Linked DNA regions of Bombyx mori. The protein of the gene in region 6 binds, or shares a complex with, the protein of the main gene of each other region. Links are inferred from orthologs where the notes say so. Each region holds a gene or a part of one and is shown on either strand. Other genes may lie near its edges.

Region 1 (3,500 bases), on a different chromosome or scaffold from region 6:
CGACATTGTTGACATGATGCCTGAAGGTATTAAACAGAATAAGGCCAGGACGATATTGCAACATTTGTCTGAAGCTTGGAGATGCTGGAAAGCGAACATCCCTTGGAAGGTGAGTGCAATGAATAATAGTCAATCAATAAAGTCGTTTTAAAATATTTACAGATACGCAAAAGTCTGACTGTGTTCCTGTCTTTGCTAATGTCTACTCAGTATCAGATAAACTGTATGCTCATTTTGTGTTGTATGCTGCTTTGTAATTATAAAAAAGGAAAATTTTAGGTACCTGGACTTCCAACTCCAATAGAGAACATGATTCTTCGCTACGTAAAGATGAAGGCGGACTGGTGGACCAACACAGCTCATTACAACAGAGAGCGTATCCGCCGTGGTGCGACTGTCGATAAAACAGTCTGCAAGAAAAACCTTGGCAGACTAACAAGGTTGTATTTGAAAGCTGAGCAAGAAAGACAGCACAACTACCTTAAGGTTTGAATTATTTGAAAATTTGCATTTAATTTATATTTGGTGGTATGTTCTTATAATGTTCATTACAATGTTTCTCAACAGGACGGTCCCTACATATCTCCAGAGGAAGCCGTAGCAATCTACACTACCACTGTACATTGGCTTGAATCACGACGTTTCGCCCCAATTCCGTTCCCCCCTCTCTCTTACAAGCACGACACAAAGCTATTAATTTTGGCTCTTGAACGTCTCAAAGAAGCGTATAGCGTCAAATCCAGATTGAATCAGAGTCAGAGAGAAGAGCTAGGGCTTATCGAACAGGCGTATGATAATCCTCATGAAGCATTATCTAGGATTAAACGTCATTTGCTCACTCAAAGAACTTTTAGGGAGGTGAGTAATCTGATTTAATTTTCCACATAGGTACTTGGGTGTTTCTAATACTTGTACATATCTAAGGAATGTCAGTAACTGTCCAAAAATATAAAAGCTATTTTTTACACAAACAAAACTTGAAACAAACAAATTGGTGTGTAAATGATTTCATTTTCATTTCATTTTTCATCTGATGTTTTTTACATATATTTTTTCTAATTTCAGGTGGGAATTGAGTTTATGGATCTCTACTCCCATTTAGTTCCAGTATATGATGTAGAACCATTGGAGAAGATAACAGATGCATATCTTGATCAGTACTTATGGTATGAAGCAGACAAAAGACGTCTATTGCCACCCTGGGTCAAACCAGCTGATACAGAACCATCACCTTTACTTGTCTACAAGTGGTGTCAGGGTGAGTTAACTAATACTTATTACTTAATAACTTGTCTAATTACCACAACCTGAGTGCTGCCACCCATATTTAGACTCAGGTCTCAAACTGTTTCTATAATGGTTGTTCATGATTTCATGAAACAAAATGTATCACTTTATCAGTTTTTATTACCACATTTGCAAAATTCGTAAATTATAAATTATATTATTCTAACTACAGTAATAAGTATTATAAATACTAATGCTTGAAATTAAATTAATAAAATATATACTTTTTACATTATATCGTTATTTTTATAAACTAATTCAATAGGTAGATCAAAAAATTATTAAATATACAAAATACAAAGCTTATTCTCTTATAATACTTGAATTCTGTCACCAAACAATACAGAAGGTTGAGCATTAATAAAATGATTGTGATATAATTTTTAATATTAATTCTATCTCACAATTGATCTTGCTATTTGTTCATCATCCTGAATAGGTATTAACAACCTTCAAGACGTATGGGAAGTTGGTGAAGGCGAGTGTAATGTCTTGCTCGAGTCACGTTTTGAGAAATTGTATGAGAAGATAGATTTGACGCTGCTTAACAGGTTGTTACGTCTCATTGTGGACCATAACATTGCTGATTACATGACTGCTAAAAACAATGTAGTGATCAATTATAAGGTGAGGAAAACGGAAAAACAGTTATTTAACATTAAAATTAACCCCCATGTCTAAGTAAACAAAAAAAATGCTAATAGAATCTAAAAAATGAACATACTGTAATAGTAAACAATCCTCAAAAATTATGATAAAACTATTGTATTTAAATTTTTATTAAATTTTCATCATTATTTCAGGATATGAATCACACAAACTCATACGGTATAATTAGAGGTCTTCAATTTGCTTCCTTCATCGTCCAGTATTATGGCTTAGTGCTAGACTTACTGGTGCTCGGTCTACAGAGAGCCAGTGAGATGGCTGGCCCACCACAACTGCCTAATGACTTCCTTTCATACCAAGATCGTCAGACAGAAACTGCTCATCCTATTCGATTGTATTGCAGATACATAGATAGGATTCATATATTTTTCAGGTATGTATAATAATATTTTACGGTCATAGAAATTCATATTCCATTACTATAATTTATAGGTAATCAATATCCTTTCACTTTTTCTTTTAATATTAATAAACGTAATTTACATTGGTTGAATAATAGGTTTTAGTGACTGACAGTAACCTTTTAAGTTACTATAATGATCCAAGCAAGCATAAGAAATCAAGTCTTCAGTTTAAATAATTCATTTTTGGTTACAGATTCTCAGCAGAGGAAGCAAGAGATCTGATTCAACGCTACCTTACAGAGCATCCTGATCCCAACAATGAGAACATTGTTGGTTACAATAACAAAAAGTGCTGGCCGAGGGATGCTCGTATGCGTCTAATGAAGCACGATGTTAATCTGTAAGTTTTAGTTAAGTTAGTGATCATGAATAGTTTATTATGATAAATTTAAATATAATAATTATTATTTATTGATTGAATTAATTTAACAATCAATATTAAATTATTGAAGTAATAGAATACTGAATGAAATATTATATTTTCTATGCAACAGTGGGCGTGCAGTATTCTGGGACATAAAGAATCGTCTACCGCGTTCAGTGACAACTATACAATGGGAGAACAGCTTTGTATCTGTTTATTCTAAGGACAATCCCAATTTGTTATTCAATATGGCTGGATTTGAATGCAGAATCTTGCCAAAGGTAAGTTTTAAGATATATAACCCTCTTATTCTAATCATCATGTTAAATATTTATTGTAGTATATAGATAATACTGTCTACCATGTAACATGAAACTATCATAGTACTAGCAACCAAGACCAAGTTGCCAATTGTGCAGGCTGACGACACTACCTCGGATTGTGCTCCACAAATTCTACTTAATTTTCACTCAATGTGTCCATTACTAAAAGATGTTTATTTATGTAGTGCCGAAGTCAACATGAAGAGCTGTCGCATCGTGACGGAGTATGGAACCTTCAGAACGAAGTGACCAAAGAGCGCACAGCACAATGCTACCTACGTGTTGATGACGAATCCCTGGCTCGTTTCCACAATCGTGTCAGACAAATCCTTATGGCTTCCGGATCAACGACCTTTACCAAAATCGTCAATAAATGGAATACTGCTCTTATTGGTAAATCGAATTTGTCAAATTTTAGATTTTTTCCAACTTTCCTTAGATTCGTTCAAAATT
Region 2 (4,022 bases), on a different chromosome or scaffold from region 6:
TCGGCTACCACAATCCCCGCATTCTCGCAAATAAAACGTCATTGACAGTCGTCCCACAGCAAGCCAGCACCGCAGCCTCAACAGGACCATCGCAGCCGACTCACCGCGCTTCCTGGTCCTACGGCACACAACTTCACTGCTTCATCACGCCGCTACAGTTCATCGCAGCCCACGACCGGATCATCAACGCTTGGGGTCACACATCTCCGGCGTGGCAGCTCTGCATCACATGGACTACGCACGACACGCACGCAACGTTCAAGCTCAGTCTCGACTCACTGCAGACTTCGAGCAGCACTGGCGACAATCACGCAGCATTCAGCTCAGTTTCGACTCACTGCAAACTTCGAGCAGCACTGGCGACACGCACGCAGCATTCAAGCTCAGCCTCGACTCACCGCAGGCTTCGAGCAGCACTGGCCCTTGCAAGCTAATCTCAGCACGGACAACGCTAACTAAAAAATGACACGACCTCCAGTCTCGGAGGGGAGTGATGTGGCGGGCAGCCATCATACAACGCAAGATAATTGACAGATGCCTGAATCTCGCTTACGACATTTTCAAGATAAAGCGCATATATACAAGTTCCAAACAACAACATTCGGACCGTCGGTCTACCGAGCAATATCATCCGCTCGGTGGAAGATCTTCCCTTTGTCGTATATACCCAAATATCTATGGCATACACGATAAAGGCAGAACTCTCAAAATTCTCAAATATTAAGTGTATAAACTATGGGGCAGAACGGCGATATCATCTAGTCTGACTTTTTGGCGGGAACGCGAAGAGTGAAGTTGTGTGATTTGTTTTTATTTTGTCTAATTAGTGTTTCTTCAGGTTTCAATGTGTAATAACGGTGGTTTATTAACTGTTTAGTATCTGTGAAAGTGCACAAATGTGGGAAAATGAAACAAAGCCGCTGAACGTAACTTCTCGGGATCTTCCAAAAAGTCCACTGAAAAAGTCTCAGTAAATGACCACCATTTTACTGAGATTATATTTCATCCCATATCATCTCTTATCACTTCATACCATTTCATCCCAAATGATTAATGTCTCAAATTAATCATCTTCATTTCATTTCACTCCATATTATCATTTTTCATAAACATAAGAATATAAATTAAAATAAGACATGACTTAAAGGCCTTAGTTACCAGGTCATAAAATCCCTTAAATTTTTTTTGTGTATAATCTATGACCCATAGATTTTTTTTGGTACAACTTTTCCTTATTAGGAAAAGCAAGGGGATCTACGCCCATACAATCTTTGACCCATAGATTATCCATTTAATACTTTACTGGATGTCAAATGTCAATATTATGTCAAACTCAAAGCAAGAAATTTGATCGACATCGTTGAAATTATAAAGTGAAGGTCAATGCGAAGCGAAGCAAACCAAAACATATAAATTCAAGTTATTAACGAATATAATTTTGAGCGAATCAAATCAAAAGTGATGCATTTGCAAAATTACTTGTCTGTTTTAGTAAATTTGTGCAGTTTATAAGAACTATAAGAACGAAAATGGAGGGCAAAAAAATATCTTTTGGTTTCATGAAAACGAAAAAAGCAGAAAAACCAGTCGTAGACGAAAAAAAGGACTATATAGAATGTGTAGAGGAGAAATCTATCAAAGTAGTCGGGTAAAATGACATCAAATACTTTAGAAAACTACGTTAACATTTTAAAATTTTATTGTTTTCATTTTAAAATCAAATGTGCTCTTTTTTTTATTGCTTAGATGGTTGGATGAGCTCACAGCCCAACTGGTGTTAAGTGGTTAATGGAGACCAGAGACATATACAACGTAAATGCGCCATCCACCTTGAGATATAAGTTCTACGGTCTTAATTATAGTTACAACGCCTGCCCCACCCTTCAAACCGAAACGCATTACTGCTTAACGGCAGAAATGGGCAGGGCGGTGGTACACACCCGCGGGGACTCACAAGAGGTCCTACCACCAGTAAAAAACAACAAATATATTAATTTACTTTAAACTAGATATCAACTGACTTGCAGACTTAATATTAGTAATGTCACTTATGAAAACGATCATAGAATGCTGCAGTCATAAATTCTATGAAACAATTTTGCTTGAATGGAGATGAAATTTGCCTGCATTTTTAACCAACAAAAAGGGGGCTCCTGTGTTCTTGTAGATAGTAGGATCTTCCCTTTTCCACGCGATATCACCCTCATGAACAGTGATTACATTGTTTTTTAAGGAAAATACTAAAAATGATTCCAAAATCAAATACAAAACAAACAAAGAAAAACTGGGGAAATGTAAAATAAAAATGGGACTTTGGGTAAACAGTCTTCCTAATTTATGCCAAAAAAGATCTCCAAAATTGAAATGTGGGAGTATGTACCTCACATCAACTTCTACACATCTACCTTAACACTTAAATTTTAGCTTTCCATGTTAACTATAAAATTTTACCAAACTCAATCTGCATTAAGGTAAAAGCACTAATGCTGGACATTGAACTAAAAGATGACACTTTAAAAAAAAAAAAATTCTAATAAGGAAACTAAACACTTAAATAACATTGCTGTTGATGTTAGACACCTAGTACCATGTATGATACATTCTCAAAAGCTTGCGTACAGTGTTAGAAGCAAATTTCAAATTGGCATCAGTTGACAACAAACAATGTGAGCAGGTTGACGTTTTGCGCGTAATTCTTAGCGTATTCCTTAAGCCATCTGACTTTTAACAGGTATGATTTTGTCTTATATTTATAATTATTGGCTACTGTTGGTTTCGATATTATAAATGTATGAAATTATTGATTTATTAGGACCAATTCCTTGTTATTTTGGTTTGTTTTTGTACAAATTTTAAGTGGTGTTTACTATTAGTACCAAAAATGAATCAAAACCTAAAAGATGACACGTGTGTCTTCTACTAGGGTTACATCGAACTGAATTTGTTAGCTTAATTTTCTTCAAATTCAGCCTTTATGTTGTAAAACAAAAGTTTCAATCTGAGTTTCGTTCATTTTACACTAGTCTAACTAAACGAAGACAGTGTCAACTATTAGGGTATACTAGATGTCAACTATTAGTATCAATTAATTTCAGCTTAAGTTTCGAGCACGATGCCACCAGTAAAGGGTCGGATGTTTCAATACTCTGAAGCCAATATTGAAGAAGCCATAAAAGAATGTATATGTTTGAGGATTTACTGGTGGCCCTGAGGCCTTTCCAGTTTCACAAGGACAGAAGGGACGGGATTTGCTAACAGCTACCCGAGCGCCTCCAAGGGAGACCTAACAACTCAAGAGTAGCTGCTTCGCGAATGAATCTACTACCGGATCGGGATCGCGACCCGCTGAGAAGATCCGGCGAGAAACTCAACGGGCTGATGCTTAGGTTAGGTTGCACGTTAGGTTAGGTTGAACTCTTTGCAGAGTTCGACGAATACCATTACCGGGATCTCTACTCCTAGTGTTAAAGCGGAAGGCGTCTAATGTAAGGGTTATTGGATCTGTTGGATCCGTAAGGAGGTGTCTAGGGCGACGACGGTGACTGGCTCCTGCGTGGTCAGGATTCGGGGAGTAGTCAGCGGCGGCAACGATAAGGCGATTATCATGACGCATTGCCTTATCGAAGTAACGTTCCGACGCGGACTTCATGTATTTTTTGATCGGTTCGAGGTCCAAGTCGTCGTGTAAGTCGACGTTCCTCACGAACCACGGGGCTCCGACTGCTAACCTGCAAAAACGAGATTGTAGGGATTGGAGGGTGTCTATGTGTGTACGGGCCGCGTGAGCAAACACCACACTCGCGTAAGTCATGACCGGCCTTATGTAAGCTTTGTAAAGTGTCACCTTGTTCCGAAGGGACACTTTACTCCGCTTACAGATCATGGGGTAGTCTGCCGAGAATAAAAGCGGCACGGTCGCGGACTGATTTTATATGTGGGTGGAATGTCATGGATGCATCCAGGGTGACTCCCAAGTACTTGACCTTCCTGGTTCAGGATATGAGGGGGGGCGTTCCGACAGC
Region 3 (4,109 bases), on a different chromosome or scaffold from region 6:
AAAAATATTTTGTCCAAATGCACAGATTGCCACCTTTGATAATAGACGACTCATATACACATATGTTTAAGTAATATCACCTTCACACTACACCTACCAAGGTTCATCTCTGCACCCCCCTAAGGTAGACTGTTAGAGAATGCCTATGGCATTAAGTCCTTTATACCGTTTAGTATATAAAGTTATAAATAAATAAATAAACATATATTCAGAATTATTCAGATTATTTAGAACATAGATAGGACAGATGACAACTTGTAACAATCATTATAATTTGTCATCATTCATGAGTGTTAGAATTATTCTCATTTCATTTTTGAAACCGATTTCTTGGATTCAAGTCTTGATTATCTGTAGTACCGCTAATTGTGGGTGTTCATAGGTTGGCATTACAATCCTATCTGTTTATTCCTCGAAGCAATCACACTTTACCATCCGTGAGGAAATTTCCAGTATCTTTATTATTATCTTAAAATAGTCCAAGGCATATAAAGCATTGCTTTACAAATACACTATATTTTTTCTTTTAGAACTTATTTAGGTAATGTTTCTTATGAACTAGGATAACATAACAATAAACTAAGTTGAGCTCTGTCTGTAATTCTTAGTGTCTAGAATCTTCTTTCCACACATGGCACATATACCCTTTTTGTATGCACAAGCTTGGCAGTAATGTGATCCGACCTGGTGTACTTTCGTTCTGCAGATTCTGAAAAATAAAAGAATATATTTTAAAAACTTTTAATACATTTTACTGGAGGTATGGTTAGACCTAATAGACGCCTTTGAAATGTGGAGCTGGAGAAAAACGTTACAGATTCCATGGAATGCCTTTCTCACCAACGTGACTATTCTGAGAGAGCTTAATATCATAACTAGTCTTTCCAATATATGCCTTCGTTGGGTGCTGGAATTCTTCGGACATATTGCCCGTAAAGAGGGTCACAATCTAGAACAGCTGATGCTGACAGGAAAGGAAGATGGCAAACGTCCAAGAGGATGCAGTACCACGAGATGGTCGGACTAAATACAATCTTCTCTGAACATCAACTTCCACAATGTCCTTCATGAAGCTAAGGATCGCAGCAGATGGAGGGAAATCGTACGGAAGAAACTGATGCAGCGGGGGAGTTCAGTAATGAGGAAAACGACACGAGGAGGTGGAGGTGGTATGGTGTAATGTACTGAAATAGGTTCCACAAACCTAGTTATTGCAACCATAAATTTGTCCCATTTTCAAAGGAGAGCCATTTTTAAATTCGAATAAATCTTCAACTGCATCTCTTCATATAAAAACAACGTACACATTACAATCATCTATGGCCCTATTAATCTACCCATGTAGTGTACTAAATAAATCACTCAAGAGAAGAAGGGATAATGAATATAAAAAACATCCTTCAAACAAGTAACAACTAACTTTTATTGTATTGTTATTTTACATATTGGTAACTAAAAGTCCAGCAGTATTTAGTGTGTTTGTCTGAAGCGTTCGGGATTAGGAAGTATTATTATGAATATATGAGGCAAAATTGGGGAAGTATTATTAAGAATGTATGAGTTAAAATTGGAGAAGTATTATTAAGAATGTATGAGTTAAAATTGGGGAAGTATTATTAAGAATGTATGAGGTAAAATTGGGGAAGTATTATTAAGAATGTATGAGGCAAAATTGGGGAAGTATTATTAAGAATGTATGAGGCAAAATTGGGGAAGTACTATTAAGAATGTATGAGTTAAAATTGGAGAAGTATTATTAAGAATGTATGAGTTAAAATTGGGGAAGTATTATTAAGAATGTATGAGGTAAAATTGGGGAAGTATTATTAAGAATGTATGAGGCAAAATTGGGGAAGTATTATTAAGAATGTATGAGGCAAAATTGGGGAAGTATTATTAAGAATGTATGAGGCAAAATTGGGGAAGTACTATTAAGAATGTATGAGTTAAAATTGGAGAAGTATTATTAAGAATGTATGAGTTAAAATTGGGGAAGTATTATTAAGAATGTATGAGGTAAAATTGGGGAAGTATTATTAAGAATGTATGAGGTAAAATTGGGGAAGTATTATTAAGAATGTATGAGGCAAAATTGGGGAAGTACTATTAAGAATGTATGAGTTAAAATTGGAGAAGTATTATTAAGAATGTATGAGTTAAAATTGGGGAAGTATTATTAAGAATGTATGAGTTAAAATTGGGGAAGTATTATTAAGAATGTATGAGGTAAAATTGGGGAAGTATTATTAAGAATGTATGAGGCAAAATTGGTTTTTAAACATCAGGATTACTCACTTGCACTGTTGAAATGTGGAAGTGTACGGATTAAATCGTCCTTTTTTGGCGGTTAATGCTTTGTTTTCTCCAACAACACGTCCGCCGGACTCCACGGTATTCCTAGCTCCAGCCTTCCAAGGGTCCGGCGTTATTACTCTGCCCAATTTCTTTTCGCACTTCTCACAAACCATTTTTGTTCTGTTTCTTACTAACCTAACGAGCTTGTATTAGTACGAAATTTTATTAAATTGTTGTTTTGACTGAATAATATGTAGGTTATATTAATTAAATATTACTTATCAAATATTAAAATATGCTCTGCTAGTGAACAGCTAGTTTTATTAAGAAATCATAGTTAATACACTTAATATTTGTTAGAAATAAAATTTATTTAAGTTGATGTTGTTACTAATAGTTTTCTTTTGAATTGTCATTTGGATAGGCAACAGGAATGAAGCCCATACAGTCAAAACTTGTACCGAAGTGCGGTTCCGTGTCTGTGGTATTAAAAGTGGAACTAAAACAATACATAATACAAATTGAATTGGTTCTGGAATTAAATTGAATAAAGAAAATGAAATTCAATGAATTAATATAAAAGACGGTCAGGACTTAGATGAGATGAAAATACCTTGCAATCAAATGGGTGGACAGTTGGTTTACTAAGACGGACTTATTCTTCCTATTTTCCACGGACTTTTTGGAAGGGCCCGTTATGCCACGGCCTATTTTTCACTAAGACTACGGTTAATATTTCAATGTACTTTTACGAATTCTAATCGATTAATATGTAAATTTTAAGCCTGAAGAGACATTAAATTAAAAAGTAACAGCTTGAGTGCCCGCCAAATAGTCCTTAATGTTTCGTGCTGTATTTTCTTCAAATTAAATAGTGTAACGTCGGTCTCATGCAAACAAGAACTGCTTGGCAGTCCAAATAGGTTCGAAGCCAACTCGTGCCACTTATAAATCGCATAGTCCTACACGACTTCTGTGCGCACCCTGACCCTTAAGTACTTTGTATATTGTTTTAGAAACCGTCAAGACAAAATCGAGATCATGGGGCTTAAGTTGAAGAAAAAAACAAAATAATCACGTTTTCCCTGTAGATAAAAAAAACATCAAATAAAACATCATATCCAATTGCAATATAAGTATTGAGCGATTTATTAACTCGTTTCTCGATAAACATTTCAATAGATTTTATTATTCAACACATTCAACTTTCATAGTTTATTTATCCGACGCCGAAAGCTAATCTATATTAGTGGCACGTTACTCTATCAAAAGCGTTGTAACGGAATGTTGCAAGAAATAAAAACATACGAATTGCTAACTCTGATGTTCCTCCGCCATTTTCGTTGGAGCATCACTTGGATTTGTGTCATTTGACTCTGGGTAATATTGTTCTTGTGGAGCCTCCGCTGTGTTCTCATAGCTTTGTTCGTAATTCTGCTCGGGTTGGTAGTTGACTTCGGCTATGTTGTTGTATTGTTCTTCGCTATATTGCGCGTTGGGGTCAGCATATTGCTGATATTGTTCATAATTTTCATATTGTTCGTTTGCGTAAGTCGGCTCCTCGTAATTATTTTGGTATTCAGGTTGGTATTGCATTTCTGTTGCTTCGTAATTTTGTTCCTGTCCAATGAAATTCGCATCCTCTTGATAAGTCTGTTCTTTATGCTCTACGTCCATTGGTCTTTCTGATTTAATTGGTGCATCGTTTTGATTTTTGTAGGGTTTTTCATCATCTTTGGACATCGGTTGAGATTGATGTTCGTCGGTTATTGTTGTAGGCTCTTGGTGGTCGTGATGCTCGGGTTGGAGTCGCT
Region 4 (2,962 bases), on a different chromosome or scaffold from region 6:
ACTGCCGATTCTGAACTATGTTTCTACTGTTAGGCACCTACCGATAAATTTGATAAACGTGAACATGACAAAATAGTAAAACAATTTGAATAATGAATACATTTTTTTTTACTAATTTAGATTAGCCGAGAAACTTATGGCTTAACTACCTAACATTAGTATGTTGTTGGATTTATTTTGTGAGTAGTATAATCGCTAGGATAAATCGTTAAAATGCGACAAATATTAACATGTCACCTCTGCCGGCTTTAACGTTTGGCAATTTTATAAAGTACCGCGCACTCCCTCTAGGTTTAATGGATTTAATAAAAAATATATAGAATGAATAGTATAACGCCAAAAGTTTCACATACAACTGCAAATGTTTTTTAGTTTTGATTTATAATAATTAATCTATGTATTACATACTATAATAATATGTTTTCACTACATATATATTATGTTATTGTTCAGTAATTTTATCAAAACTTTGCACGTAAAATGAAAAACAAATACCAAAATAATTGTTTGGTAAATTTTATTAAATCAGAAATATAATTAATGAAGTTGTACGTCTTGTCTTGCCAGCTCCAACAACATAGGATCGTCGAAAAACTTATTGATGGACACGTCCTCACTGAGCCCCTTGCGTCGACGGGTCTTGATCATGAACTCTCTGGCTAAATGCGTCGCTGGCTGTGGTTCCAATGGCCTAAATAAATAAAAAATGAATTAAATATGATTTTATCATTCACTGCTGATACAGATTCGTTTATAATAAATATCATTATCTTCGTCAATACACTGACCCGGCAGACTTCGTAGTGCCTCAATCGATAAATAAAAGACCTAAGCTTTTGTATAAAATAAACTTAAAATAAACAAAACGAATCCGTCCGACGGGGGACACATGAAAAAGAAAACATTTTTTTTATTTATATTTAATTCCGAGCATTTATTATTTATCTACCTTTTAAACCTTCTCTGGGCTTCCACAAATAATTCAAGACCAAAATTAGCCAAATCGGTCCAGCCGTTCTCGAGTTTTAGCGAGACTAACGAACAGGAATTCATTTTTATAAATTAGATAGATAAAACAATCCAAACTAGACAACTCACCTGATAACAATACTCTTGTCGAGCGGGTCGCCGGGCACGATCTGCCAGTGATGGAAGACCTGCAGACAGAAGGCCTGGCCCTGCGTGTGCGTGCGCAGGTCGGTCTCGAAGCCGAACGAGTCTATGGCCGGGACGAACGCTTTGATGGTGTAGAGCGGCGACCCGGGGACCGGAGCGTCCTGGGTCACGTGACCTGCGCGACGAGCCACAGACTCAGTCGGTTTTTTCTACCTAAGCTGATAGTCTTGTGAGACCATATCAGCGTCACCGGGCGAGTGGGTGAGCTCACGGGGCTCAAACCTGACGTTGTTGCTAACACGATCCCTAACAAGAGCTGTGCTTCGTAGAATCAACCACCGGATCGGAAACGCGACCCACTAAGAAGATCCGGCGAGAAACTCAGTGGGCTGTGTCTGTGGGTTAATTTACTCGCCGAGCCCTTCGTCGCAAGCGACGGGTTCGACGAAAACCCCGATGACCGGCTCAGTCGGTGGAATCAACAGCACTATATATTACAACATGTATATAATGTGGGACGGTAGAGTGAAATCTAGTGGACTTTCATACCAAAATTTTTTATTTTCCAAAAAAAAACCCTCCTTACCTCGTCATGTCATTCGATGACTGTAATTTTCATTATTCTTATTTTAAAATAATTCTAATGTGTCAGTGTGAACCTGATCAAAAAAAATACCGATCTTCCTACATATACATAATATGTATGTATATATTTAAAGGAAAAACCGCATTTGCGCTAAGGTCGCCGCACTGTGCGGGCACAATTGCGGATACGTGCGCAGTGAGTAGGAGTGGGTAATATCGGTTTTGCCGCGTATCGAATCGTATCTATATATCGAGGATCAATATCGGATATTGAATCTATATATTTTCTGAATCTATATATTGATGGATGCTGGTAGATTTTCTCGATTCATGATATTTGAGATTTGAAACGATACGCCGATATAATATCGTAGTATTTAAGTCAACGTTATACGGTTGGTTTTCTGATATCAATTTATAATATGATCTTAAAGTAATAAAAAGAACATGAAAATAAAAATATCAAAAAAACTTTCCTTCATGCTTTTACCAGGCTTAGGACTGGCTACATTATTTTCAGTTTTTAGTATTTTGTGTCTTAATTTAAAATTACAAAATATACCAAAAGAGTGTAGATTTCAAAAGTTTAATACAAACACAAGAAATAAACTCAATTATTTGGATTTAACTAAAAATAGAAAAATGTGTACTTTAAAAATCAAACACAAAAAACTTTGAAGTATTTATAAACACTTGTCCAAAAATTCTAGTTCAAGGTCAAAGCGCGTGAAATTAAATTCAACGATGCAAATAGGCTATACTGCATTCAAGTTAGGGTCGAAAGTTGAAACTTCTTTCCTTAATTGTATCCTGCTGATACGCTTAGAATAATCTACAGACATATGGACTTAAATATAAGGTTTACAATTGTATGGATAATGCCTGTTTCTGTTTCATTCATCACATGATATCGCTATCGTGCGCTCACTCACTCTGGCCGATTCGATACGAACCAAACGAATATTGCTGATATTAACGAATCGGTACGATATGCCGATGCGCATCACATCGAGCAATATCGTGTATCGGCTGATATCGAAATATAGATTTCGATTCACGAATCGGTCCGATATGGCGATGCGCATCACATCGAGCAATATCGTGTATCGGCTGATATCGATATATAGATTTCGTGCGGGGCGATATCGGATTCAACGATATTGCTGCGATATATAGATATTGAATCTATATACGATTTATATCACCCACTCCTAGCAGTGAGCAACCTGGTTGTAATCAGAATTATAACAATCTTGTTGCC
Region 5 (3,999 bases), on a different chromosome or scaffold from region 6:
CCACGAAGTGTGCGATTTCAATACTGTTAAATGGATACCTGTAGTTCTCACATTTGCGCGTGGAGCCTTTTTTATGGAGAGGAATTAACATTGATTCCGTCCAGTCTTCAGGCCACTGGCCAGTACGCCATATTTTCTGGCAAATGGAGTGTAAAATCTTGGTACCATCCGAGCCTAGGCTCTTTAACATTAGAGCGGTTACGCTGTCCCTCCCGCATTCTCCCTCAGGCAACATTGGAGGAAGCTGGTGCAAAAACTGGACCAAGGTGGTCACGATCCTCAGTAATGAGGAAACGACAAAGAAGAAGAAGAAGAAGAAGAAATGGATACCTTATCATCTGCTTGTCCGTGCAACTCTTCATTGATCTTCTGAGCCTTCTCAAAGATGGCTTGGGCATCTCTATCCTTTTCTGTGTCTAATTCATAGGTAGCTGTTGCATTCTCTCTCTGTTGTTGAACCGATAGTGTTGTCCTTTGAGAAGTCTGAAAGAATTGTAAGCTTATGTTGATCTAAATGGATCTTAAAACGGTTTTTTTTTATGTTCAATACAGAAGACAAGACTTCAACATAAAGATGACGTGTAAAAAGATTAAAGAGATAAAAAGATGTGTGCCAGATTTAAGTAAAGATAAACTGCTCTAATTGTTGATAATATTGATTTCAGTGGAGATATAACTGAGACACTAACAAATATCTCAAGATGCATGGCGGCATTTACTTTGTAGATGTCTATGGGCTCCTGTAACCACTTAAGAACTTAAGGAATAAAAAAAGACAACCCGAAAGGCTGAAATGGCAGCAAGCAGGCTGTTGGAACCAAAAGTTCTCAAGTGGCTATTATATATCTAAATATGTATGAAGTATGTGAAGATTTGAAGTGTGGGTAGGCCTTCTACAAGATGGACCAACAGCCTGTTTATGATATCTTATATCTGGTGCTTCAAAGGTGCAGATCTCATTATAGATCAGATTATCAAATCTGATGATATCCAAGTGAGTTGATGATGATGATGAGCTGTTAATGTTACTATACCTTTTCTTCATCATTACTATCATCATTATCTTCAATTACATCAATTTTGGATTTCTTCGGACCTCCTGTAGACTGTATGTTTGGATTTGGTTTGTTCACCCTTTTCGTTGGTAGAACTACTTGTTGCTCATCAGAGTCCGAGCTGTTTTTCTCTGAAACGTTACTATATTAAATTATATATTAAGCAGCCGTCTGGTGTAGTGGTAAGTGACATGGTCACTACACAAGGGGGTCGCAGGTTCGAATCCCGCCAAGGGAAGATATTTGTATGATAAATATAAATGTCTTTCCAGGGTTATGGGTGTATATTAAATATATATATATATATATATATATATGTGTATAATAAAAATATTATATTTATTTCCGTTATCTGGTACTTGTAACACAAGTTCTTTACGAACTTAGCACGGGACCAGTTAACGTGGAGTGATTGTTAGTAAATATTTATATTTATAAAAAAAAAAAATATCAAGTATATATGAGGCTGTCAGCGCAAAAGTGGCCTAACCCACAATTTTTCATGCTTATAATCATGTATATTGCAATTTATTTAATATATAATAAATTTTTATGCAAAACCGGCCTATCCATAGTTTCACCCATAGAAAGCAGATGGCTTTGTAATCATTATTTTAGCGCATATTGTTTTTTTTGCCAACTCAAATTCAAATTCATGAAAACTAAAGCCTCATTGCTCCATAATAACTATAGTACGCTTAGGCTGCTTTTGCGCTGACGGCCTCATATGATAAAATATATATCGACACTTGAAAGGCAAACGTGACTAAGCGACAATGCGTGAACTTTACGGTAGACTAATTTAAAGTTGAAATACATGAAAACAAAATTTATTTTAACGAATCCAGTTGTAGTAGAAACTAGCTAGTAGCTGTAGGATTGAAATAATTTTAATAGACCTAGAAATATATATTTTTTGCGGATCGAATATGGTTATTGCCTATCATTTATGTGCAAAGCAGTTATTGTCGCTTAGTCACTTTTGCCTTTCAAGCGTCGATATATTTTTTTTATAATGGTAATCTGCCGATAGTTTCTGCCAGCAATTTCTGCCAGTGTCGTGTTATGGCTACATATGGAACATTGTCGAGCTATTTAAACACACTTTATATTATAAAAAGTATCCAATTTTGGCTATATTAATGGTGCCTGGGACTAACACAAAATTAATGTTACTACAAACTTACATATTATAATAAAGATTATGTACAGAGAATAATGCGCTACATATAATTATAATTTTATAGTTAGTAGTTATACACTTAATAAAAGCACTTATAATACGGGGGTCTGGGAACAGTGAGAAAGAGGATATGAAGAAGCGATGAGATAGTTTTAATGTACTATTCTTAGATGTCTTTCGTTTGGAGAATAATTTAATAACTTAACGATCAATATTACCTTCTGAACTGGAAGTTTTACGTTTTCTGCCACCCCTATTCTTAATATTACGTTTTTTAAAAGTACTGAGTACTTCCACTTCGGCGTCTGACATTTTGAACGATTGTTTATTCAACCTAGTGTGTGCTTACTACGATATTAGAGTAATATCTACATAATCATTAATGAGGACACAATAATACTAAATAAAAGTACTGTATTTCACTTTAGGACCTTCAAGTATTGTCGGTATTTATAGGGTTTTTAATTAATTTTTGCATTTCACAACATGATAATATTGGCAATGATCAAAATAATGCTCATTTTTAACATTGACATGTGATTGATTTTGACGGATAGTTGTTTTTTTAAACTATGATTTGTCTATTGAATGGAGGGAATACTGCCCATACAACATAGCTTAAACATTTATAGCAATGCCTGAAGTTAAATCAAAACTTAAATTAGCATATGGAATAATAAGGTTAAATAAGAGAAAGCCGTACATGTTGTATAAGATGAAATAAAATAGCCTGTCAGTAAATTAGCGGAGACTTATTGAGGCTTCTAGGCAATTTGGAAGGGACCCGAGCAGCCACACAGCCACATTGAGGAATTCTTTTTTTTTTCACACTTAAGCCCTTTCTACTACTACTGTTAAAAGTTGAAACCAGAGTTAAAACTCAAACATTGTAATGGACATAATAAACACTATTCTTATCACGATGTTCATGTCTCTTTTATAGTAATAATAAATAGATAAATTAATAAAGTCATTAGCTGCCTTGAAATAAAGTGGAAGTGGAATCATAATTTACCATACAAACTGGAAATATTGAATGCTAAAAGGTTTAGGGTGTAATTTTTTTTTTATTGCTTAGATGGATGGACGAGCTCACAGCGCACCTGATGTTCAGTGGTTACTGGAGCCCATAGACATCTACAACGTAAATGCGCCACCCATCTTGAGATATAAGTTCTAAGGTCTCAGTATAGTTACAACGGCTACCCCACGCTTCGAACCGAAACGCATTACTGCTTCACGGCGGAAATAGGCAGGGTGGTGGTATCTGCCCTTGCGGACTCACGAGAGGTTCTACCACCAGTGATTACGCAAATTATAATTTTGTGGGTTTGATTTTTAATACACGATGTTATTCCTTCCCCGTGGAAGACAATCGTGAACATTTGTTGAGTACGTATTTCATTAGAAAAATTGGTACCCGCCTGCGGGATTCGAACACCGGTGCATCGCTCAACACGAATGCACCGGACGATTTATCCTTTAGGGCACGACGACTTGATATTTTAAGGAATGCACAAAAAACTCAGTCTAGTTTTATCGATCCTTGTATTAAAACGTCACAGGTTACAGCGCTCACTGATTGCTTGTCACTTGTCAGGCTTAATATTGCCGTATTCTGCAACGCGGCCCCGTTTTGTATTTCTTAGATGACCGTTATGAGAAGTGCACATTTATGAAACACAATAAAAGAATGACATCGTGTAATAAAATGCAAACTGTAAAAATAATAATTGTGTATAGGTATTGTGTGCTCGCATA
Region 6 (4,066 bases):
AACGCTGGACTATTAAAAATAAAATATCAGCATTAGCCATCTTCAAGCGTTCACCAAAAGCTTACCGATATCTGCGATATCTCGCACCATTTCCGAGTATCAAAACATTGCAAAAATTAATGAAAAAAATACCTGTTGAGCCAGGTTTAAATACAGCTGTACTTGACCACCTGAAAAAACTAGCTCCCATTAAAAAAATAAGAGCAAAATTATGTTCGCTAGTCTTTGATGAAATAGCGTTAAAAGAAAGGTTAACTTATAGCGAAGCCACAGATAAAGTGGAAGGGTTTATCGATTATGGATATGAGAGGAAAGATGAGCTAGCAAATCATGCCTTAGTCTTCATGTTACAAGGTATTGGGAGAAAAATTAAACAACCGCTGGCATTCTATTTCATAAGAGGCACAGTATCTTCAGAAAAATTAGCAGTTTTAATAAAAGATATAATTAAAGAAATTACTAACTCGGGATTTCAAGTTTTATCAACAATATGTGATCAAGCGCCCACCAATATGGGAGCATTAAGTCTGTTAAAGGAGTGGAACAATGGTGGACATAATTATTTTGAATTTGAAAATAAAAAAATTTATATAATTTATGATATTCCACATTTATTAAAATCACTGAGAAATAACTTTTTAAAACAAGGATTTCTGAAAATGGGAGAATTGAAAGGTCAATGGAGCCATTTAGTTGAGGTAGAGGAACGAAATAGAAATTTTTTATATCTTAGCAAACTCAAATCAACTCATGTACAACCAAAGTACAGAGCTAAAATGAAAGTTAAGTATGCCGCACAAATATTTAGCCAAACAGTGGCTGCTGTTCTTAAATTATTAGCTACGAATGTGGAAAATGTACACCGATCAGATGAAATATTACAGACTGCTTTGTTAATTGAAAAATTCAATAAACTTTTTGATTATACAAATGGGCCATCAGGACATGCTGACGTAAAAAAAGGTATACGGGAAAACGTATCTGCTAAAACTGACCATTTAGCTGTTTGGACAGAATATAGAAAGCAACTGTCTACTTTAACATTTTTCAACCATAATGGCGTGGAAGCAAAAAATGTAAAGTGTGTTCAAGGCTACATTATATCATTAAAATCGCTGCGTGATATTTGGCTGGAAGTTCAGGATTTAGGATATAAGTATTTGAATCTACGGCAGTTAAACCAGGATGCATTAGAAAATTTATTTGGGTTAATAAGACAGCATGGTCAAACAAACAAGCATCCGACGTGTTCTACATTTATAGCAGCTATGAAAACCTCTATAATATCAGGACTTACCGCCCCTCACAGCAAAAACTCCAATTGTGAAGAAGACAAAAAGGAACTCATGACGGATTTTCATGATTTAGTTTTTGGGTTTAAAGACGAAGATGATCAAGGTCAAGATATTAATGAGTCTCCTAGTCATGTTTCCACAGAAAATGAAAATGAGGAAGACAACCCGGTTCTCAGTATACCTGAAGAAGAAGAATATAAAGAAATAGTATGTGACCTAGCAAAAATTTCAAATCAACCAGTGGTCTATATAAGTGGATATCTAGCTTCTGTTATTCTAAAAAAAAATGATTGCCAGGTCTGTAGAGAAACTTTGACAGTTGCAGATCCAGAGGAAAATAAGATTTATGATTTAATTAAATTAAGGGAGTGGTGGCAAGATAAGAAATGTTTGACATATCCATCATTGCAGTTGTGTCAAACTGTACACACTGCGGTTACAAATTTTGAACAGTTTTGTATCCCTAACCTACATAATAACAATATTTGCCAGTGGACAATTACTATATTTTATTCAAATTGTAATACAGAGTGGCTATGCATTAATCATCGTCAACAAATGTCAGACTTATTGTTTACAAAATTGGCTCTAATGCTGATTCGGCGACAGTGCCAGATAATTAATTTAAAGCAAGTTTCAAAGGAAGAGGATTTGGCGGACGCGAACAAAAGGGGTCAACAATATGGTGTTTCAAGATAATTACATAATTAGTTTTTATTTGTTTTTTGTAGAAAGAAGTTAACTTCGGGTTTGAGTTCAAAAAAAGTATACATTTAGAGATTTAGAACTTTATTTTTTTACTATTATAAAATAGAAGTTTTTAAAAATTTACTCTTCAAATGGAAATAGAAACGAATTGTTTTTTATTTAGCACAAAAATTTTCAAAACCTAGTTCGTTATAACATTATAAAACAAGGTTGAAAACCTCTACATGTATACTTATTGTACCTTGCATAAAATTAAGTAAATATTGGTTTATATTGTAAAATAAAAATTAAACATTTCCGATACAAACTTAAAATTTTTTGTAAGCGTTAAAATTCTACTTACAAATTTCATTAAAATTATACTAAGTAATAAAACATTGTTTTATTTCTTTTAAAATAATAAAGTTTTTATTTCAATATGCAATCCTTGCCTGCATTCGATATCGACAAAAATATCGATAATATTCGCATCATTATTTATTGGACATCGATATTAATGCCCATCACTATTTTTGACAGTGGTAGGATTTTTGTAGTCTGTGGTTGTTTTAATGTTGTCACCAGATCGGATCTGATCCCATACATTTTCATTTTGTAACGTTTACTATGAAGTGCGGACTCTTATAACGTAGTGATTATATACTCTTTGGAATTTTGTCAATGAATTTAACTTTTCTACTATATTCTACCGTCTGAGACAGTGCTGCCACTTCCAAAATTAAATAAGAACCTTTGACACGGCGATATTACGATTATAATTTTGGAAATTATAGATCTTGGACATCAACAATATCAGAGGTACGTACGGTCAAGCTACTGCCTATTGCAGAGTTCTTCTTAAGCCTTGTCAGAAACTTGACAGCTTTGATCGAGCTACTTTTTCCCGGCCATAATAAATCTACGTTATTTATGGTAGTAATATGGTCCTCATAACTTGCTGAAAGAGATTTTAGCATGAGTTTTACGATCGGCCGTCTGTCTGACATGAATCTTTCTTGGGCTAGTAGTATATCCATGGCAGCGTACCATGGGAGGATACATTATAATTTAGATTTTTAAATACAAAATATCACGTTTTATGAAATTTTATGAATTTGCATAAGAATATCATAATGCATCATTCATACGAAACATAAAAACAGAAGCTTAAAAGGACACTCAGAACAAATAGAAAAAGAAGCATCTAGTGGGGTGCTAGATTGTTGGGGTGTTTGATGGTCTTTGGCAAAAATGTCTGAAAATATAATATTATAGATGATCACAATGGTTGCGTTTGTAAAGATAAACTCATCAAGCCTTCCAACGTAACTTCTGGCAGTAGCCAATAGAAAAAAACAAAAATAAGGCAATTACTGGCTGCTAGGGAAAATACATAAATAAATCTATTCTAGCACTGTACAGAATTCTAATGATTGTGAACTCAGGGTCTATCTGGTTGCTGCTCTAGTTGGTGGGTTCTGAATTCATAAATTTAACAAACGCTTTCGTGCACCGACTCTTAGAGTATCTAGGTTACCCCTTTGTTCAAAATGTTTTACTTCCATCCGTCCGTGCTACTTTATACAGTCCTAGATCACAAATAAACGCAGTTTATGGTATAACAATCCAAAAAAATATGAATCACTGTGGTTGTATTAATGTATACCATCATTTATAAGCTTAAGCTATTAGGCATGCCTAACCGCTAACCGCTTGCCAAAACCGAATTATAAAAAATATTAAAAACTCCGTAAAGTAAAAACAAGACCGAACCAACAGATAAAGTAAAAAGTTTTACAAAAAGACTGTTAATATACGTCTATACAGTATATCATACATTTTAATGTATTTAAGCATCGTACGAATGTCATCGATTTAAAATCGAAAAACATCGATCCATTAAACGAATTTAAGTAATTTTTTGCCAATTAATATTTAATAAAACTTAATAAAAATATTTATATCTGTGCTTCTATTTTATTAATAATGCACTGCAAGAAGCTACTTCAATGGTGGTGAAAACTCATATTTATTTCGTAATATGCAAACCTTTATTTTTATACTAACAAAAACATAAATATTGT
Region 7 (4,049 bases), on a different chromosome or scaffold from region 6:
AAATTTTTGTATAAAAATATGTTCCATGAACAATGAATGCTCACATATTTATTTTGACTTTAACTATGTAACTTTTTTTTATTACTTAGATGGGTGGACGAGCTCACAGCCCACCTGAAGTTAAGTGGTAACTGGAGCCCATAGACATCTACAAGCAAATGCGCTACCCACCTTGTGATACGAGTTTTAAGGTCTCAGTATAGTTATAACGGCTGCCCTACCCTTCAGACCGAAACGCGTTACTGCTTCACAGCAGAAATAGGCAGGATGGTGGTGGTACCTACCAGCGCGGACTCATAAGAGGTCCTACCGCCAGTGATTACGCAAATTATAATTTTGCGGGTTTGATTTTTATTACACGATGTTATTCCTTCATGGTGGAAGTCAATCGTGAACATTTGTTAAGTACTAAAGTAATAGAGAATAAGTAATAAAGTAAGATTAAGTAACAAAGATTACTTATAATTTTAAATTAGATTGCCGTAGATATGTGTAATATTCTTTTTTTTTATTATTTAAATTAAATTTTATATTAATAATTCTAACCTTTCCTTGACACAACTTGAGCATTCCTGCCTGAAACATCATCTTTCATTTTCTTAAACATCTCCTCTTCTTTCTTTCTAAAGTCATCGTTTTCTTGCCTCAGCTGCTTGGCATCTTGTAATCCTGCTTTCTTTCCTTCCAAAGTCTTCTCCATTTTTTTATGGGTTGGAGGGGGACTGTCATTCTTGTTAGACCTATCTTTCCTAGGAGGAGAAAGATCAGAATCGCTATTATTTCTTTTTGAACTTCTGTCTTTTCTTTTACGTTCAGAGTCATGCCTTCTGTAGTTATCTATATTCTTAAGCTTTCGCGGTGGTGATAAATCCGAACCACTGTCTTTTGTGTCATTCCTCCTGTGAGGTTTTTTGCTTACATTCCTATAGGACTTGTTTTCTGCATATCTTATATTTTTACGGGGAGGAGATAAATCTGAATCACTATCATTCGTTTTTTTTCTTAGTGGAACATTTCTACAGGGAGATTCTGAGATTTGTCTCTTACTCTTTCTTGGGGGAGACATATCAGAATCTGAATTTGATCTGTTAGATCTTTTGTCATACCTCGAACCATAATCTGTATCATTATACTTTTTTAACTGGCTCTGTCTGTTATCGTGACCAAATTTAGATTTCTCTGGGGATTTTTTTCGCCTCGGAGGTGAAACTGAGTTAAGTCTATTTCGTTTTGAATCATCTTTTCTAGATTTTCTGGGAGATGTCACATCATATCTTTTTTGAATTTTCATATCTTGTCCTGAAGAAATCTTATTCATTTGGGTTTTCCTTAGAGGAGACAAATCAGAGCTCTTAGATCTTCTGTGGTTATTAGCTCTTAAAGACTTTGGTGACTTATCCTTCTCATTGTCCCAACGACTTGGTTTTTTAAGTTTTTCAGCTCTCTGACCCTCATGCTTTCTAGGTGGTGAAAGATCAGAATCATATTCAGTAGTTCTTTTAGGAGAATTATTCCTTTTCACTGGATTCCCTCTTCTTGGTGGGCTGAAGTCGCTGTCACTGTTGTGTTTTTTTTTGCTTTTAGCTCTTCCAGACGGCGAAGCTTCTGAAACATTTGGCTTATCATCTTCGGAATCACTGTACATTTTTCCAAAGACCAATTCGTTTTCTTTCTCGGTTTCCTTTACATCTTTCTTTATCTCTTCAATTTGTAGTTTGCTGTTGAATCCGTCATCCTGTAACGATTTTCGGTGTCTGTTATAATCGATGAATAAGATTTCTATTAGAATGGTTTTTTAATATGTTGAAGGCTTGACAGTAAAAATAAAGTAATAAACATGTGTACCTGATTCACGATCTTCCATTTAGAACTAGTGGTGAATTGTTCCTGTTTTTTTATATGCTCTGGTCTTTCATCGATGATACCTGCTACTTGCGGTGCGTCATCACCTTCATCATACACATCTAACTCGTCACCCTCAAGGGGTCGTAGCTTCGATAGGTCAATGTCATCGTCTATTATTTTGAACCTAAAATTAGATGAGAAAATACATTTTTTATATTCACTTTAGTGTTTCAACAGGTAAGGTTATTTGTCATCTGTATCTTTCACTAATGAAAGAATTTTTTTTTGTTCTTTATTTGGAACTGACGTTTGCGTCTTTGAAGGAAGATGAGCCGAGAGTGATGATATAGTTAATGTACTGTTCGAACCTTATTAGAACAACATGCTTAAGCAACCAAAAAATTCATCCATACTGAATGAAAATATTGACAGGAATAAGAAATTTGAAATTAATTCGCATTTGTTATGTATTTCATTATACAAATAATCAATACTTACTTAAAATACAATAACTTGTAAGGAGAATACGTGAAAATGTACATGATTTTTTTTTCAATTTTAAAATGCATTTTAGTGTGACGACAGCACTTTAATATAATGCCAAAATACAATTGTAAATATCAAAACGGTAGATATTTAAGGTATTTTTTTTAGAAATAGTAAATTCTTTCACGTTTAATTTCAATTATTGTTCACATTGTCTACAGTTGACTTACCCTTTTCCTTTTAGCACTTTTTTTTTCTTTTTCTTTTTATCGCCCGATGGACCAGCCAGGTATTTTTGCAAGTACGCTTTCTGGTTTACAGTCGTAGCCATTATTAAATAAAATTTCAAATTATTTAATTTAGAAAATTAATTTGACGAACTTTATATTATTATGTGTATTATCTATGGTATCAATTTAGACAAACACAAATGTCACAAATCAACATTCTTTCAAATGTTTCAAAGCCATAATACACTTTTTTTAAAGGGATTTTATGTCCTGGTAACTAAGACTTTTGGGTCATGTCTTATTTTATATTTAAATTCTTATTTTTATGAAAAATGATTTAGGGAGTCAAATGAAATAAAATGAAATGAAGATGATTAATTTGAGACATTAATCAACTGAGATGAAATGAAATAAATTGAGATAAGATAACATGGGATGAAATATAATCTCAGTAAAATGGTGGTTATTTACTGAGACTTCTTTAGTGGGCTTTTTGGAGGATCCCTAGAAGCTACGTCCAGCGGCTTTGTTTCATTTGTGCACTTTCACAGATATTAAACCATTAATAATAATAATAATAATAATAATAATGTTTTTATTTCAAGTATCCATGACTCATATAAATTGTTAATAAGACTTAGACCTATGTTAGTATTTATATTTACATCACAATGAATTACTGTGGTAACATCCCATGGGAGATGGCACCACAGCGACCCATGTATATACAGTCCAGCCTGCTTGCGATCATGCTCAGGATACTGTTGGAGCTGGCCCTCACTCTGTTTACCAGAGATGCACACCTTTTACGCATGGTAGCGTAAAAACAATCTATGTGCGCGTCTGCAAACATCCCTGATGCGCTACAAAAGCGGGGCAGCACCACCAGCACCCTAAACGCGTTATTGTATTGAACACGGAGAGCATTGTACGATCTTTGAGTATATCCAGCCCACAAGCTGCACGTGTAAAAGTTAGTACAGTAGGCCCTAAAGAGGGTGACCTTGACTTTAAGTGAACACCGTGCAAACCTGCGAGCTATCATGTTTGCTCTAACCGACAACGCTCTCCGCTCTCGTTCAATATCTTCATCATCTTTGAGATCAGGGGTCAACACATGGCCGAGATATTTAAATTTATAAACTCTTGTCAATGGCGTTCCGTTGAGTACTACGGGAGGTATTTTATCATGCGTCCCACCCCTGGTCTCAAAGACCATGATCTCCGACTTTTTACAGTTGTACACCAAACCGTGTGATTTGGCGTATCCCTCACACAAAGAAACAAGTTGCCTTAGGCCACAGATAGACGCGCTCAGCAGCACCATATCGTCTGCGTAGCTGATGTTGTTTACGCACACCCCGTCTATGAAACAACCAATCCTGGTCCTACTGAGCTCGCCGATCAGCTCGTTCATATACAGGTTGAAGAGCGTAGGCGAACTCAACCCGCCTTGTCTCACCCCGCACTCCAACCTATATGGAAGAG

What was found.
Region 1: small nuclear ribonucleoprotein G (region 6) and pre-mRNA-processing-splicing factor 8 share a complex: the UniProt entries of both Homo sapiens proteins name them as parts of the U4/U6-U5 tri-snRNP complex. The link is inferred for Bombyx mori from reciprocal best matches to the Homo sapiens genes SNRPG and PRPF8.
Region 2: small nuclear ribonucleoprotein G (region 6) and G-patch domain and KOW motifs-containing protein share a complex: the UniProt entries of both Homo sapiens proteins name them as parts of the minor spliceosome. The link is inferred for Bombyx mori from reciprocal best matches to the Homo sapiens genes SNRPG and GPKOW.
Region 3: small nuclear ribonucleoprotein G (region 6) and cysteine-rich PDZ-binding protein share a complex: the UniProt entries of both Homo sapiens proteins name them as parts of the minor spliceosome. The link is inferred for Bombyx mori from reciprocal best matches to the Homo sapiens genes SNRPG and CRIPT.
Region 4: small nuclear ribonucleoprotein G (region 6) and 116 kDa U5 small nuclear ribonucleoprotein component share a complex: the UniProt entries of both Homo sapiens proteins name them as parts of the minor spliceosome. The link is inferred for Bombyx mori from reciprocal best matches to the Homo sapiens genes SNRPG and EFTUD2.
Region 5: small nuclear ribonucleoprotein G (region 6) and E3 ubiquitin-protein ligase RNF113A share a complex: the UniProt entries of both Homo sapiens proteins name them as parts of the minor spliceosome. The link is inferred for Bombyx mori from reciprocal best matches to the Homo sapiens genes SNRPG and RNF113A.
Region 7: small nuclear ribonucleoprotein G (region 6) and BUD13 homolog share a complex: the UniProt entries of both Homo sapiens proteins name them as parts of the minor spliceosome. The link is inferred for Bombyx mori from reciprocal best matches to the Homo sapiens genes SNRPG and BUD13.

What each region holds. Positions count from the first base shown.
Region 1 is NC_085114.1:12,596,045-12,599,544, forward strand, and holds part of pre-mRNA-processing-splicing factor 8, read left to right. Parts: coding exon 1-109; intron 110-279; coding exon 280-486; intron 487-567; coding exon 568-858; intron 859-1,065; coding exon 1,066-1,258; intron 1,259-1,726; coding exon 1,727-1,914; intron 1,915-2,090; coding exon 2,091-2,329; intron 2,330-2,553; coding exon 2,554-2,700; intron 2,701-2,854; coding exon 2,855-3,005; intron 3,006-3,232; coding exon 3,233-3,440; intron 3,441-3,500. UniProt on the Homo sapiens protein: Plays a role in pre-mRNA splicing as core component of precatalytic, catalytic and postcatalytic spliceosomal complexes, both of the predominant U2-type spliceosome and the minor U12-type spliceosome.
Region 2 is NC_085127.1:6,327,906-6,331,927, reverse strand, and holds the start of G-patch domain and KOW motifs-containing protein, read left to right. Parts: upstream 1-1,222; 5' UTR 1,223-1,529; coding exon 1,530-1,648; intron 1,649-4,022. UniProt on the Homo sapiens protein: RNA-binding protein involved in pre-mRNA splicing. As a component of the minor spliceosome, involved in the splicing of U12-type introns in pre-mRNAs.
Region 3 is NC_085130.1:5,681,330-5,685,438, forward strand, and holds cysteine-rich PDZ-binding protein, read right to left. Parts: upstream 2,731-4,109; 5' UTR 2,469-2,730; coding exon 2,296-2,468; intron 710-2,295; coding exon 580-709; 3' UTR 501-579; downstream 1-500. Other genes in the region: drebrin-like protein, read right to left, coding at 3,610-4,109. UniProt on the Homo sapiens protein: As a component of the minor spliceosome, involved in the splicing of U12-type introns in pre-mRNAs. Involved in the cytoskeletal anchoring of DLG4 in excitatory synapses.
Region 4 is NC_085121.1:1,473,641-1,476,602, forward strand, and holds the end of 116 kDa U5 small nuclear ribonucleoprotein component, read right to left. Parts: intron 1,292-2,962; coding exon 1,099-1,291; intron 692-1,098; coding exon 538-691; 3' UTR 501-537; downstream 1-500. UniProt on the Homo sapiens protein: Required for pre-mRNA splicing as component of the spliceosome, including pre-catalytic, catalytic and post-catalytic spliceosomal complexes. Component of the U5 snRNP and the U4/U6-U5 tri-snRNP complex, a building block of the spliceosome.
Region 5 is NC_085108.1:7,586,020-7,590,018, reverse strand, and holds the start of E3 ubiquitin-protein ligase RNF113A, read right to left. Parts: upstream 2,801-3,999; 5' UTR 2,551-2,800; coding exon 2,457-2,550; intron 1,187-2,456; coding exon 1,035-1,186; intron 484-1,034; coding exon 331-483; intron 1-330. UniProt on the Homo sapiens protein: Required for pre-mRNA splicing as component of the spliceosome. As a component of the minor spliceosome, involved in the splicing of U12-type introns in pre-mRNAs. E3 ubiquitin-protein ligase that catalyzes the transfer of ubiquitin onto target proteins.
Region 6 is NC_085133.1:8,591,043-8,595,108, forward strand, and holds the start of small nuclear ribonucleoprotein G, read right to left. Parts: upstream 2,801-4,066; 5' UTR 2,653-2,800; intron 2,379-2,652; exon of another isoform or gene 1,995-2,378; coding exon of another isoform or gene 1-1,994. Other genes in the region: uncharacterized protein LOC134201547, read left to right, coding at 1-1,994. UniProt on the Homo sapiens protein: Plays a role in pre-mRNA splicing as a core component of the spliceosomal U1, U2, U4 and U5 small nuclear ribonucleoproteins (snRNPs), the building blocks of the spliceosome.
Region 7 is NC_085130.1:5,568,787-5,572,835, reverse strand, and holds the start of BUD13 homolog, read right to left. Parts: upstream 2,801-4,049; 5' UTR 2,663-2,800; coding exon 2,562-2,662; intron 2,030-2,561; coding exon 1,846-2,029; intron 1,736-1,845; coding exon 547-1,735; intron 1-546. UniProt on the Homo sapiens protein: Involved in pre-mRNA splicing as component of the activated spliceosome. As a component of the minor spliceosome, involved in the splicing of U12-type introns in pre-mRNAs.